Arabidopsis thaliana: one gene and its partner. The protein of the gene in region 1 interacts with the protein of each later gene in a biochemical or structural test. Each region holds a gene or a part of one and is shown in the gene's direction. Other genes may lie near its edges. The genes, in order: XRI1 and AT1G32530.

Region 1 (5,532 bases):
TGCTCATCTTCTTCTCCACCTACCTTTGATGACAAGATTGGCCTAGTATCTGATGGTTTTTGGTTGATATCTAATCTTTGAGCTATATACTGATGCAGCTTGATATGAAAGATAGAGATGAAATTAATGTATTGTTGGGTCACTGTAGAGGATTGTATTCGTAATAGTATTGTTACCATGATCTATGATGCTTTTACTTCTTTCAACAACTAGTTTGATGTGCATCTTTTGTTAATTAACTTAGAAAATTGTGGCCATATATCGCTAGAGTTGGCCTGAAGACCAAATGTGACGCTAATCTAAAATACATATATTGCTAAGAAATTCGCTCAAGTTCTTGGGATGATATTTGACCAAAACAAACTGTGATAGATTTGGGCCACAATTACAATTTTTAGCCTACACTAATTATTGGACCAATCATAAGATTGGTTTGGCATTTGTTAAACATAATGTACAAATCTAATCAAAATATCCTAAAATATCACTTAAATCACTCCAAATCTAAATAGTAAATTCCATCAAATCTTTCAAAATATCAACTCCCACAGTTTATAAAAGAACTATTAAAATTTTCATATATTGTAATTTTAGCTACATAACTTTATATAATGAGAAATACAATCCAAAGATATAGAACTGAACCAAAAAAAACATAATAAATTTTAGCTAAATAACTTTTTATTTAGTAAAAGATTTTTTTTTTTTTTGGGTTCAGTTCTATACAATAAATTAAAATAAAGAAAGAAGAGTTATGTTCTACCAACTATATAATAAATGGTGAATGAAGAATCATTAAATAGAATAGGTTTGGTGTCCACATAACATAAAAAAAATCCAATACAGGATAGTATATTCTTATTTTATGGTTTAAAAAATAATATTTCAAACTCTCTAATATATAAAAAGAAGTTTTACATTGAAAAATCCGCAAATAAGCTTAAAACGTGAGCCTATTGACTTTTACTTTTTTAAAATAGGCGTTATATTTTGTTGTTTTTATTTAAAACATCATGAAACTTTAACGTTTTCAATTATCGTTCAACGAAACGTATATTTTATTTATTGTGCGTTAAGTTTTTTTTTGTCAACATATGAATCATATACACAAGTAAACTAATTTTGTCACTACTTAATAAAGAAAAAAAAGTTACAAAACTAATTTGAATAAAATAAGTTCATTCCTTTATCAGTTACAATAAAATCAACAAAATTTGAATAAAATTAGTCTTCACAAAATAATACTAAATTTGATGGATTTAACTATATTAGCCAAAATTCAAAAAACTCTCATAGAATTTTAACTACTCATATGATTAGGTTGGAAATGAAGTATAATTTATAACAAATACTCATTTCTAAATGTCTTGGAAAGATAAGTCAAAATCATTATGACATTATCAGTGACTACTGACTATGAAAATTTGATTTATCTTGCTTTATGAATTCAACGATACAGTAGACAGAGTCAATTTACACGAATTAAGTGATAGTTACTGAAATGAAATCTAAAAGCGAATAATGTTATATCCAAAAATAAACAGATTACATTAAAAAGAAAGTGATGATTGATTAGTAATATTAATTGCAACAATTAAGTAAAGAAAATCGCGAGAAAAGAGGAACCCACGACACATTGAAACTTGCAAAAAAAAAAAAAACTAGAAAGCGTGCTTCGCAATGGTCTTTTCTTTTTCTTCTTCTTCTCAATATACACTAATAAAATAAAAATAAAAAGCTTCTCTTGCAATTCTCTCTTCCCTCATAAATAGAGATGCAGTAAGACTATAAATATTGACCAGTGTCCTAGAGAGAGAAACTCGCCGCTTTTAACACTTTTTTTTTTTCTGGTTTTTTTTTTTGGTTAAGCAGTAAGCACTAAGCACATATCTCGAGCACACACACAAGGTCAGTCAAAAACTGCTTCTTTTTCTGATTCATATATATATATTGCTTTGTGGGTCTTTGGAGCGTGCATGTTTTTTGTTCTTATTGTTGATTTGTGTGTGTTTTCATTTTCTGGGCAACGGCTAGTTATTCCCACAAGTTGTAGACGACAGAAGAAGATCGATGGATTACGGAGACGACGATCGGTAGATTTCTCCTTTATCGCTGCTTATTTCATCTCGATTTGGTTTATTTTTGATTTTGATGTGTTTCTTGGTTTTTGTTTTCTCGTTTGGATTTGTGTGTTTGATTGATTAGTACATTCTTCGATTTTTGTGTGTTTTTGTGCTTTCTTAGTCTGATTCGTGTGTTCTCTTGTATGGGTTTCACTGTAATCGTTGTGGTTTCGCTTAGATTTGGTGGTGGTTACTGGGTTTTAGGTTTTGATTGATTTCTGTGTTTTTAATGCGAAGATGAAATGTTGGATTTGATGTTAATTGTGAGTTAAGAAATGTTTGGTCATTTAATGTTTCATCAATCATTTAGGATTTGGATTTTAGCTTGTCAATGCTCTATCATTTCTACTAAATCCCGAGTTTCGTAAGCCCTCTCTTGTCAAAATGGTGCTCTATGGTCAGAATCCAGGTTGGGATGTTGTGATTGAGCTTGAAACTATGCAATGTGCTTACTCTATTTGCTTAGTTTTGAGTCGTTGAGACTCTTCAGTCTTCAAAAAGCTTTAAAGTAGTAAACAGTAGTCTCTAATCATGTAAAATGTACTATGGGTTTGATCATGTTTGGTGTTAATTTTTTGCAGTAGCTCCTCATGGAATTGGCAAGTGGATAACTATAATCACCAACCTCAGTCTCATTTCTGTAAGTCTTACATCTCTGTGACGAGCATGATTGAATCAGTTAACTCTTACAACACTGTAATAACCATGATTGAATTGGTATCTTAACTCCAGCGGATGTGCCTGACTGCACGATGACTGAAGTCACATTGAACCAAGAAGATCACTCGTACATGTTTGATGATGAAAATACTCCTGTGAAGGCATGTAGCGAGTTGGGTTACCATGTCACAACAGGTGGGTTTTTTTTTTCAAGTGATCGATCATTTCCATTCCTGATGTATGGTTGACGATGGTTTCTAATCTAAAGAATCTTTGGCTTTAGAGGACACGAACAGGAAAATGGAAGTGCACAGTGAGACACGCTCTGCTTTAAAAAGGCGTCGGATGTTGCAGTTTGAAGACCAACCTGAAACATCCCTTTTCAGCAGTGAGAGTTTCTCTGCAATCTTAAAATCAAGTGTGAGTATACAATACCCATATCTTGTCTCTAGCTAGGCACCAAATGACCACATATGCATTGCAGATAACCAAACTGATTGCTCACTTATTGATTATCACACTGCATATGGACTGCAATGTGAATGCATGTTCCTTTCAAACGTTTGCAAATGGGATTCTGTTTTGTTTCATAGACTTTTTACTTCTACTCCTAGAACAAATTCAAGCCTCTTACTTTCTTAGTATCTGGCTACCTAATTCAGTTGTGATCTTATTATCGAAGTAACATTGGATAGCTTAGGAGGTTGTATGAGGTTCTGATGCTATCTTTAATGCTTTGATTGATGATTCTTTATGCATGTTCAGGCTAGAGATGACACATTTGATGAGCTTTTACCCGAAGGGTCTCAGCTTATAGAAGGGTTTTCAGGTTGGGCTCTTATAATTCTTCCGAGTCAGTCGTGCCAATGTGTTTTCCATTTAAACAAAACACTGTCTCTTTTTCAGAAGACGCTTCTGCCTCTAGCTTCGAGGGCCTTGATCTGTACGCTGAAGAGTGGTATGCTGATTGCTTAAATGATGCTGAGACTCCAATGCTACCTGATGACTTGTATGTTTCAACCTTTCTTTTTGCTTATGTTATGTTTAGTAGCATCATTTTGCTTCATTAACTGGTTACTATTGTTGTTTTTCTCAGAAACTTTGGTTCACCTGATGTTCAAGTAGATATTTCAGGTTAGATATCTTTGTTTTCATCTCTTCCTTAGCCTGTCCTAGCTCTGGCTTCTCTTGCTAACATCCTTGTGTTTGATGCAGAGTATTTGAATGTGCCACCAGAAACAGAGACTAGGGAAGTTCAGCGGCCTGTGACTCGATCTTCTCCAAATGTTATCTTTAAAGGTAAAATAATAAAATGGTTTAGTCTCAAATGAGTCTCATACACACCTATTTCACGACGAAAATGAGAAAACAAAACATTATTGTAATGTTAATTGGTAATAGCAGGTAGGAAATCGTTTTCAAGGCCAGTTTCAAAGCTACCATCTTCAATCATCTATCCATTTGCATTCATCAAACCATGTGGGGTTCACGGTGGAATGACTCTCAAGGACATAAACCAGAAAATCCGAAATCCACCAGCAAAACCAAAGGCACACATAGAAGAGCCTGCAGTGATCCAAACTTCAGCATTCTCAGGGAAACCCGTTGTTGGAAAGACTAAAATCCGCACCGAAGGAGGAAAAGGAAGCATCACGATAATGAGGACTAGAGGCTAAAGCTAAGTTAAGTAAGTAGTAATAAGCTGATAGAAGGTTTTAAAAATTCACTGCAGAAAACTTTTAAACTTTTTGCCTTATTCTCAGAGGCCCTTAAATCCTTTTTATCGGATATAGTTCCAGTCAAGGGCCTTTTTATCGGTACAGCGGCTAAAAACTCTTCAAGATCTTATTATGAATCATGTTCTTGTCTCGTTTTTGTATCTGTAGTATGAAAGAAAACTTTAAAGATCTGTTAGCCATGTGGTAGATATTTTTGTTTGTATAAAGTCCCTGGTTCTCAATGTTACCTGAAACTTGTCTCTCTCTCTGGTTGGACTGCTATACAAAGTATAAGCAAGTTTTGTTATCCATTACATTGCAGTGAAACGTTGCGTTTCATGGTCAAGAAGAGAGATTAAAAACAAACTTAAAAGTAAATATAAGTTTATAATGTATGCTTTGAAAATATCAAAATAGTTGAGGTTTTAGTATGTTCAGGGATTTTAAAATATGTTCTCCTAAATTGACGCTTAAGCAAATCCCCTAGAGTCTAGAGATCTTCGCTATCAATCACGTTTATCATCAGTCAATCCAAAGGATATTACTGAGATCAATCAAGCATGACGCATATCATCAGTCAATATCAATCACGTTCGATTATGGTCAAATCAATATATACTTTAAACAATTATCAATTATATGATGAATTTATATGATCCTTTCTTTTGACTCTGGTTATGACTTATTGACTATCCCATTGTTGGAGGATTTGAGGGTTAAAACTTTTACTACAGACAAATGAAGGGTAAAGTATTTTTTTTTTCTTTCTACTCTTTGGTTCTCATTGGATTTATACACGCTAGAGCAAAAAAGTGAGCAGAAAATTAAAATTTTACTCAGTTCAGCTTGTTTCAGTTTTTATTCATCTAATCAGCAAAACATAGGAAAGAGAAAATTATAGCTAAAACATAATAAAGCAGAGTAAAATTTTACTTCATAAAAATTTAAGTAAACTTTTACGCCAGAGTAAAAAAAAATTCTGCTCACATTTGCTCTATCTTTTCTTCTCTAACTTCAGCTATTTATTGGCA
Region 2 (5,626 bases), on another chromosome or scaffold:
GGTAATGCCTTAATATCCCTATACAAAAAGGCAATGTATATTGGGAAATAAAACATTAATTGTCATAGTAAAAATAATACATATTACAAAAAGTGATTCGATATGAATAGTTATAAAGTGATGAAACATCAAAAACGTTTGAAATGAATATAATTTATTCAGAATATATATTTTTTATTTATTTATTCAGAATATTCAATATGATACGTTAAAAACTTGATTTTAATAGATTACTAAAATGTAAAAAAAAAACTGATTTGAATAGAGGCTACTAACATTTAAATTTTACTACCCATGTTATTTGAATAGAGGCTAGCATGTAATGGATTTAGCGGAATAAAAATGTGAAAGTTTGACGAATGCTATGAATACAAAAAGAAACACTATGCCATTCATACCATCATGAACAAATGCTCTGATTCAAAAGGAGGCAATATGGGTATGTCGATTTGACAAAATGGTCGAAGTTCTTAGGGAACAAAGAGATTTGAGGTCACAATGCAAAATCCAAATATCTTTATTTTTATTTATTTATTTTTTTGTTAAAAGGGTTTTAAAATCCAAACATCTTGTCTAAAGAAATTGTAAAAGACACTTCAACAGAAGATGCCTTCCAGAAGCAAGCAAACAGAGTTGAGTTTCTCAATCTCGTTCCATCATGACCACTAAGCCAATACATGTATGTATGCATCTACGTAACGTATGCGTGTATATGTATGTGCATGTATGTGTGTGGGATTTGGAGGAATGGGAGAGAAAGAATAAAAGGACAAAGGAAAGAGTCATGTAAGAACATTTTGGACATTGACGTCTCTAGAGACGCTTGGATAGCCATTAAAGTGCGGCTATGGAGTTGTCCACGTCTTACTTCAAACTATGATGGCTCAGCTTAAGAAGATGCATACAAAAACCTCTTTTGTTTCCATTCGTTTTTTCTTATATGAGAATGTGGTAAATTCTATAGACGATGTAACACAAGCTATAGAGAATGTATATAATTACAACTGGAATTAGCACACTATTTGTTTATTAATGCCAATGGTATCCCAACTCTACATAAAAAAAGCTTTATAGCAAAAAAAAAACTCTACATCCAAAACGCAGATGCATGGACTGATGGACATTGGTTAATTACCCAAAGGAACAACATTTACGTACCACTGGGCATCCAAACATATAAGCGAATATCACCAAAATCCAAAATCTAAGAAATTTCAAAAAGCAAGAAGTTATATATATGTGTCCATTGCTTTGCCAAAATCTAAGAAGTTATAGATTAGGGTTTCTAGAATAGATAAGCATCGAAGGGATCACAAAACTGTAAACCAAACTGAAATAAATGTTTATACCAAAAACAAAATTTGCTTCTTAACCAATTGGTTTTATAAAAAGAATAAGAATTTGAAACCGAGTTTAATGTAACCAGTCGATCGGACTAAACTAATTGAGATAAATATAATCATAATGTACATTTTAATTTATTAATACAATAGATGTTAGTATAACTATATTAAAATATTATTAGTTCAAACATTATATTTATATAATATAAAGTTAATTTCCTAACTAAAACCAAACCGAATCAAAACCATAATCAAACTGAACCAAACTAATCTGTTTTCACATTCTATATAACCGAAACCAAACAAACAGATCGGATTTTAACCCATACCTATAATAAAACGCTGTCGGTTTGAATTCGGATATATGGGCCCAAATAAGTTCAGTCAAGTAATGGGCTCAAAGCCCATAAATATATTCTCTGGCGCCGCCAGAAATGGAAGAAACCGAAACAAAGTTTCTCTCTCTCTCTCTCTCTCTCGCATAACCTTTTCGCCGAAACTCTCATCTTCTCTTAGCCGAGAAAATTCAGCCACCACCACCGATCAGTAAGTTCTTCGTATTCCTCCGTCTCTATCATCGAATCATTATTTATTCAATAAATTAATTCCATTTCTTCAAACCCATGTTTTTTGGTTGGTAAAGTTTTCATTTTTATCGTCTCTCTGTTTTTCAATCTCTCTTTCAGTTTCAGATTTTGGCATGGGTTGTACTGTGAGGGAGAAGCACGTGAAACCGACCCGTAGGATCAAAGCCGCTGCATTTAGATCCGACCCACCGTTATGTTGGGTCGAGAAGATTGCTATGTCACAATCAATTGTTGAGAACCTTGTTTATCATCCTGGTCTTACTGATTCCGGTTCTGTCAATTTGAATTCCGTTACTGAGAATCCTGAGGAGAATTTTTGGGCATATTGTACAGAGGAGCATTTGGAAGAGATTTTGCTGAAACATTTGGAGTTTTTGTATAATCAAGCTGTTTCTAAGCTTCTTGAATTGGGCTATGAGGAACGTGTTGCGTTGAAAGCGGTTTTGAGTAATGGACACTGTTATGGTGAATTGGATGTGTTGACTAATATAGTGAATAATTCATTATCTTATTTGAATAGTGGTGGAGGTGGAGGTGGGAGTAATGGGAACGGTGAGGATCGAACGGAGACTGGTTTTACGGATTTGAGAGATTTGGAGGAGTATTCGCTTGCGGGTATGATTTACTTGTTGCAACAAGTTAAGCCTAATTTGAGTAAAGGTGATGCAATGTGGTGTTTGTTAATGAGTGAGCTCCATGTTGGTAGGGCAAGTACTCTGGATGTCCCAACGAATAGGTCTAGTTGTTGTACTAAGGAAGATAGCAATGTAGAAGATGTTGGTACGGGTGGTACTCTAGATATTGCTGGTTTTATGGCACCAGCGTTGTGTCGATTCCATGGAGGTTGGGGTTTTGGGAATGGGGGAGGACCTGAGTTTTCTGGTAATGGGTTTTCTATGAAAGGTGCTGAGTTGAAGTTGCAGAGAGAGATTGATTGTCCTAAAAGGTTTAATCTTTCGCCATCCATGAAGTCCTTGTTGAAGCGGAATGTTGCAGCGTTTGCTGCTGGGTATCGTGCTAGTATGAAGCAGAAGCAAATACAGTCGTCTGATACTATTGGTGATAGCAAAGCTTGTAATGATCCTGCAATTGTGAAGAGTTGTGGGCAGCAACCACGTAAGTCAGGGAGTGAAGAAAGTGTTAGTACGGTGTTGGAGAAATTTCGTGATCTGAACCTTGATGATAATCTGGAATCGGTGGGTGTGGATGATAAGGATTGTGTGATAGTCGATCTGCTTCATCAGGTTAAGGATTTCGAGAAGAAAGTAAAGGAAAGGAAAGAGTGGGCTCAGAAGAACGCAATGCAAGCCGCACAAAAGGTCAGCGAGGAATTAGCTGAGCTTAAAACATTGAGTAGTGAAAGAGAAGGAATCCAACTGCTGAAAAAGGGGAAACAGGCTGTTGAAGAATCAACTGCGAAAAGATTTACTGACAAGGAAATTGAACTCAGAAAAGCTTGCAGTCAAAATGACAGGGCCAATGTAATTGTAAGAAAGCTTGAGAATCAAAATGCAGAGATTCGAGCAGAGCGGGAGGGATCCAAATTAAGTGCATCAGAATCGCTTAAAGCGTGCATGGAAGCATCAAAGAAGGAGAAAAAATGCTTGAAGAAGCTTGTGGCATGGGAGAAACAGATATTGAAGTTGCAGGATGAGATTACAGCTGAAAAAGAAAAGATTAAGGCCCTATATAAGACTTTAGCTCAAATCACAGAGTATGAAAAGGAGATTGAGGTACGTTGGTTCATATTATATTCATTTATACTGTGAAAGTTCTCTAGATCCTCTATACTTTTAACTCTAGAATTGTGGGAAGTACATTTACTTAGGATTCAAAATATTTACGTACGTTATCATTTGAGGCACACATCTAGTTGCGAAGTTGGTTCTGTCTTAGATGGTAGTATGCCATAAGACTTCAAAGATCATTCAAGAGGTATAGTCTGTGTCTGCCACATATTTTGCTAGGGTAGATGGAACCTGGATTTGATATGAATATAATCTTGGAGAATCCGTCTCGAGTTGTAGAAGCCAAATGATTTGCTATACCTATTGATATGTTCCACTGGATAGCTTTTCTCTCTACATGGTGGTCTATATTTTCTTTTCGTTCCTGACGTTTTACCTGTTTGCGCCTTGCGGGTACGTTATCTATGTTGCTGCACATTGTGTTCAAAACCTTGCTCTAGATTTGCTTACTTGGACTGTGGTTGATGACTGATAATTGAAATATCAATTTACTTTACCTCAATTAAACATGGAATGATGGTTAGTCTATCAACTTCTTTTTATATTTACCTGTTCATATGTTATTTGCAGGCGAAATGGAGGCAAGAGCAGAAGGCAAAAGAGGAGGCTCTGGCTCAAATGGAGGAAGAACAACGCTCAAAAGAAGCAGCTGAGGGTCACAACAAGAGAAAGCTTGAGACTTTACGACTCAAAATTGAACTAGACTTCCAAAGACACAAAGACGATCACCAAAGACTGGAGCAAGAACTCGGTCGACTCAAAGCCTCTTCAGATAGTGACTCAAGCCACATATCCAACAACGCTTGGAAACCCAAAAAATCTCAAGGAGAAAACATTGCTAAGCTGCTTGAAGAAATTGATAAGCTTGAAGGGTCTTATGACAATGAAGCAAACTATGATCGAGAATGCATAATCTGTATGAAAGATGAAGTCTCTGTGGTGTTTCTTCCTTGTGCGCATCAAGTTGTGTGTGGTAGTTGCAGTGATAGCTTCTTCGCGAGCAACAACGGCGGAAGCAAAGTCACTTGTCCTTGTTGCCGAGGTTTGGTTCAGCAGCGAATCCGTATCTTTGGAGCAACCTCATAAAAGCAGAAATAAGCTTCTCTTTGGGTTTCAGAGAGATCACCACAACTTCAGGTTTTACTTTGTAAGTACAAATAATATGTTTAGCTTCTTCCTCAGAGCTTTTTACACTCAGGAAATTTGATTTTTTTCGATGAAAGATCTTTGCACGATGTAAAATAACTTATTATCGTGATTATCTTGATGAATTCGATTTGGAGGAAACATGCCTCTCTAGTTTTTACCAAATAAAAATCAACTATCGTTTGGTTTGTTTTTGGTTTTGTTTGGTTAAACCGGATTGGACACTTGTTAGCAAAACAATGACAACCACAAGTTCTTGAAAACCACAATTATTGATGCTTTGTCTACTTTTCTTCTTGTGGGTTTTGTTGTGTGGCCGTTACTTGCAAGAAAATGGCTTCGTGTGCCATCTCAAACTCATTTCATACTGTAACCTTCAAGACCTTGAAGAGAATAAGTCCTTACAACAGTCTATTCGGTTGGAACTCCGGTAAGAAAATAGACAATATCCGGCCGCCGCAACAACCGGCTTACCACGACGATGTCGAAATTCCTTTCTCTCTTTCAATGGTAAACAAAACCTTCCTAAAAGGTAAATAAATTTATTCCCTTCTTCTCAATCTAAGTCCTTGTAGCAACATGTGGACTTATATATTCTACCACTAGGAATAAGTATATTTCTTATCTAAAGTTCTTCAACTATATAACAATCTTTTTTATTAGGAAGAGAGTTAAAATGTTGCTACAAGGCAAGCATTGATGGGTTTGGTGCAACAAAGTTCCACGAGCGTTGTGACTTCAAAGGTCCATGTGTTATCATAGCTTACACTAAAGACAAGTCTTTCAAGTTTGGTGGATTTAG

Evidence for each region.
Region 2: the proteins of XRI1 (region 1) and AT1G32530 form a complex in vitro, tested with the Arabidopsis thaliana proteins (one study listed by BioGRID).

What each region holds. Positions count from the first base shown.
Region 1 is NC_003076.8:19,757,163-19,762,694, forward strand, and holds XRI1 (x-ray induced transcript 1), read left to right. Parts: upstream 1-1,718; 5' UTR 1,719-1,908; intron 1,909-1,956; exon of another isoform or gene 1,957-2,034; 5' UTR 2,035-2,070; coding exon 2,071-2,093; intron 2,094-2,110; exon of another isoform or gene 2,111-2,532; intron 2,533-2,704; coding exon 2,705-2,763; intron 2,764-2,855; coding exon 2,856-2,978; intron 2,979-3,066; coding exon 3,067-3,203; intron 3,204-3,548; coding exon 3,549-3,612; intron 3,613-3,689; coding exon 3,690-3,792; intron 3,793-3,879; coding exon 3,880-3,917; intron 3,918-3,998; coding exon 3,999-4,082; intron 4,083-4,187; coding exon 4,188-4,459; 3' UTR 4,460-4,853; downstream 4,854-5,532. UniProt on the Arabidopsis thaliana protein: Required for mitotic division of the generative cell nucleus and the development of mature tricellular pollen grains, and for male and female meiosis.
Region 2 is NC_003070.9:11,758,804-11,764,429, reverse strand, and holds AT1G32530 (RING/U-box superfamily protein), read left to right. Parts: upstream 1-1,794; 5' UTR 1,795-1,889; intron 1,890-2,029; 5' UTR 2,030-2,043; coding exon 2,044-3,663; intron 3,664-4,248; coding exon 4,249-4,764; 3' UTR 4,765-5,003; downstream 5,004-5,626. Other genes in the region: AT1G32520 (TLDc domain protein), read left to right, coding at 5,158-5,356, 5,488-5,626.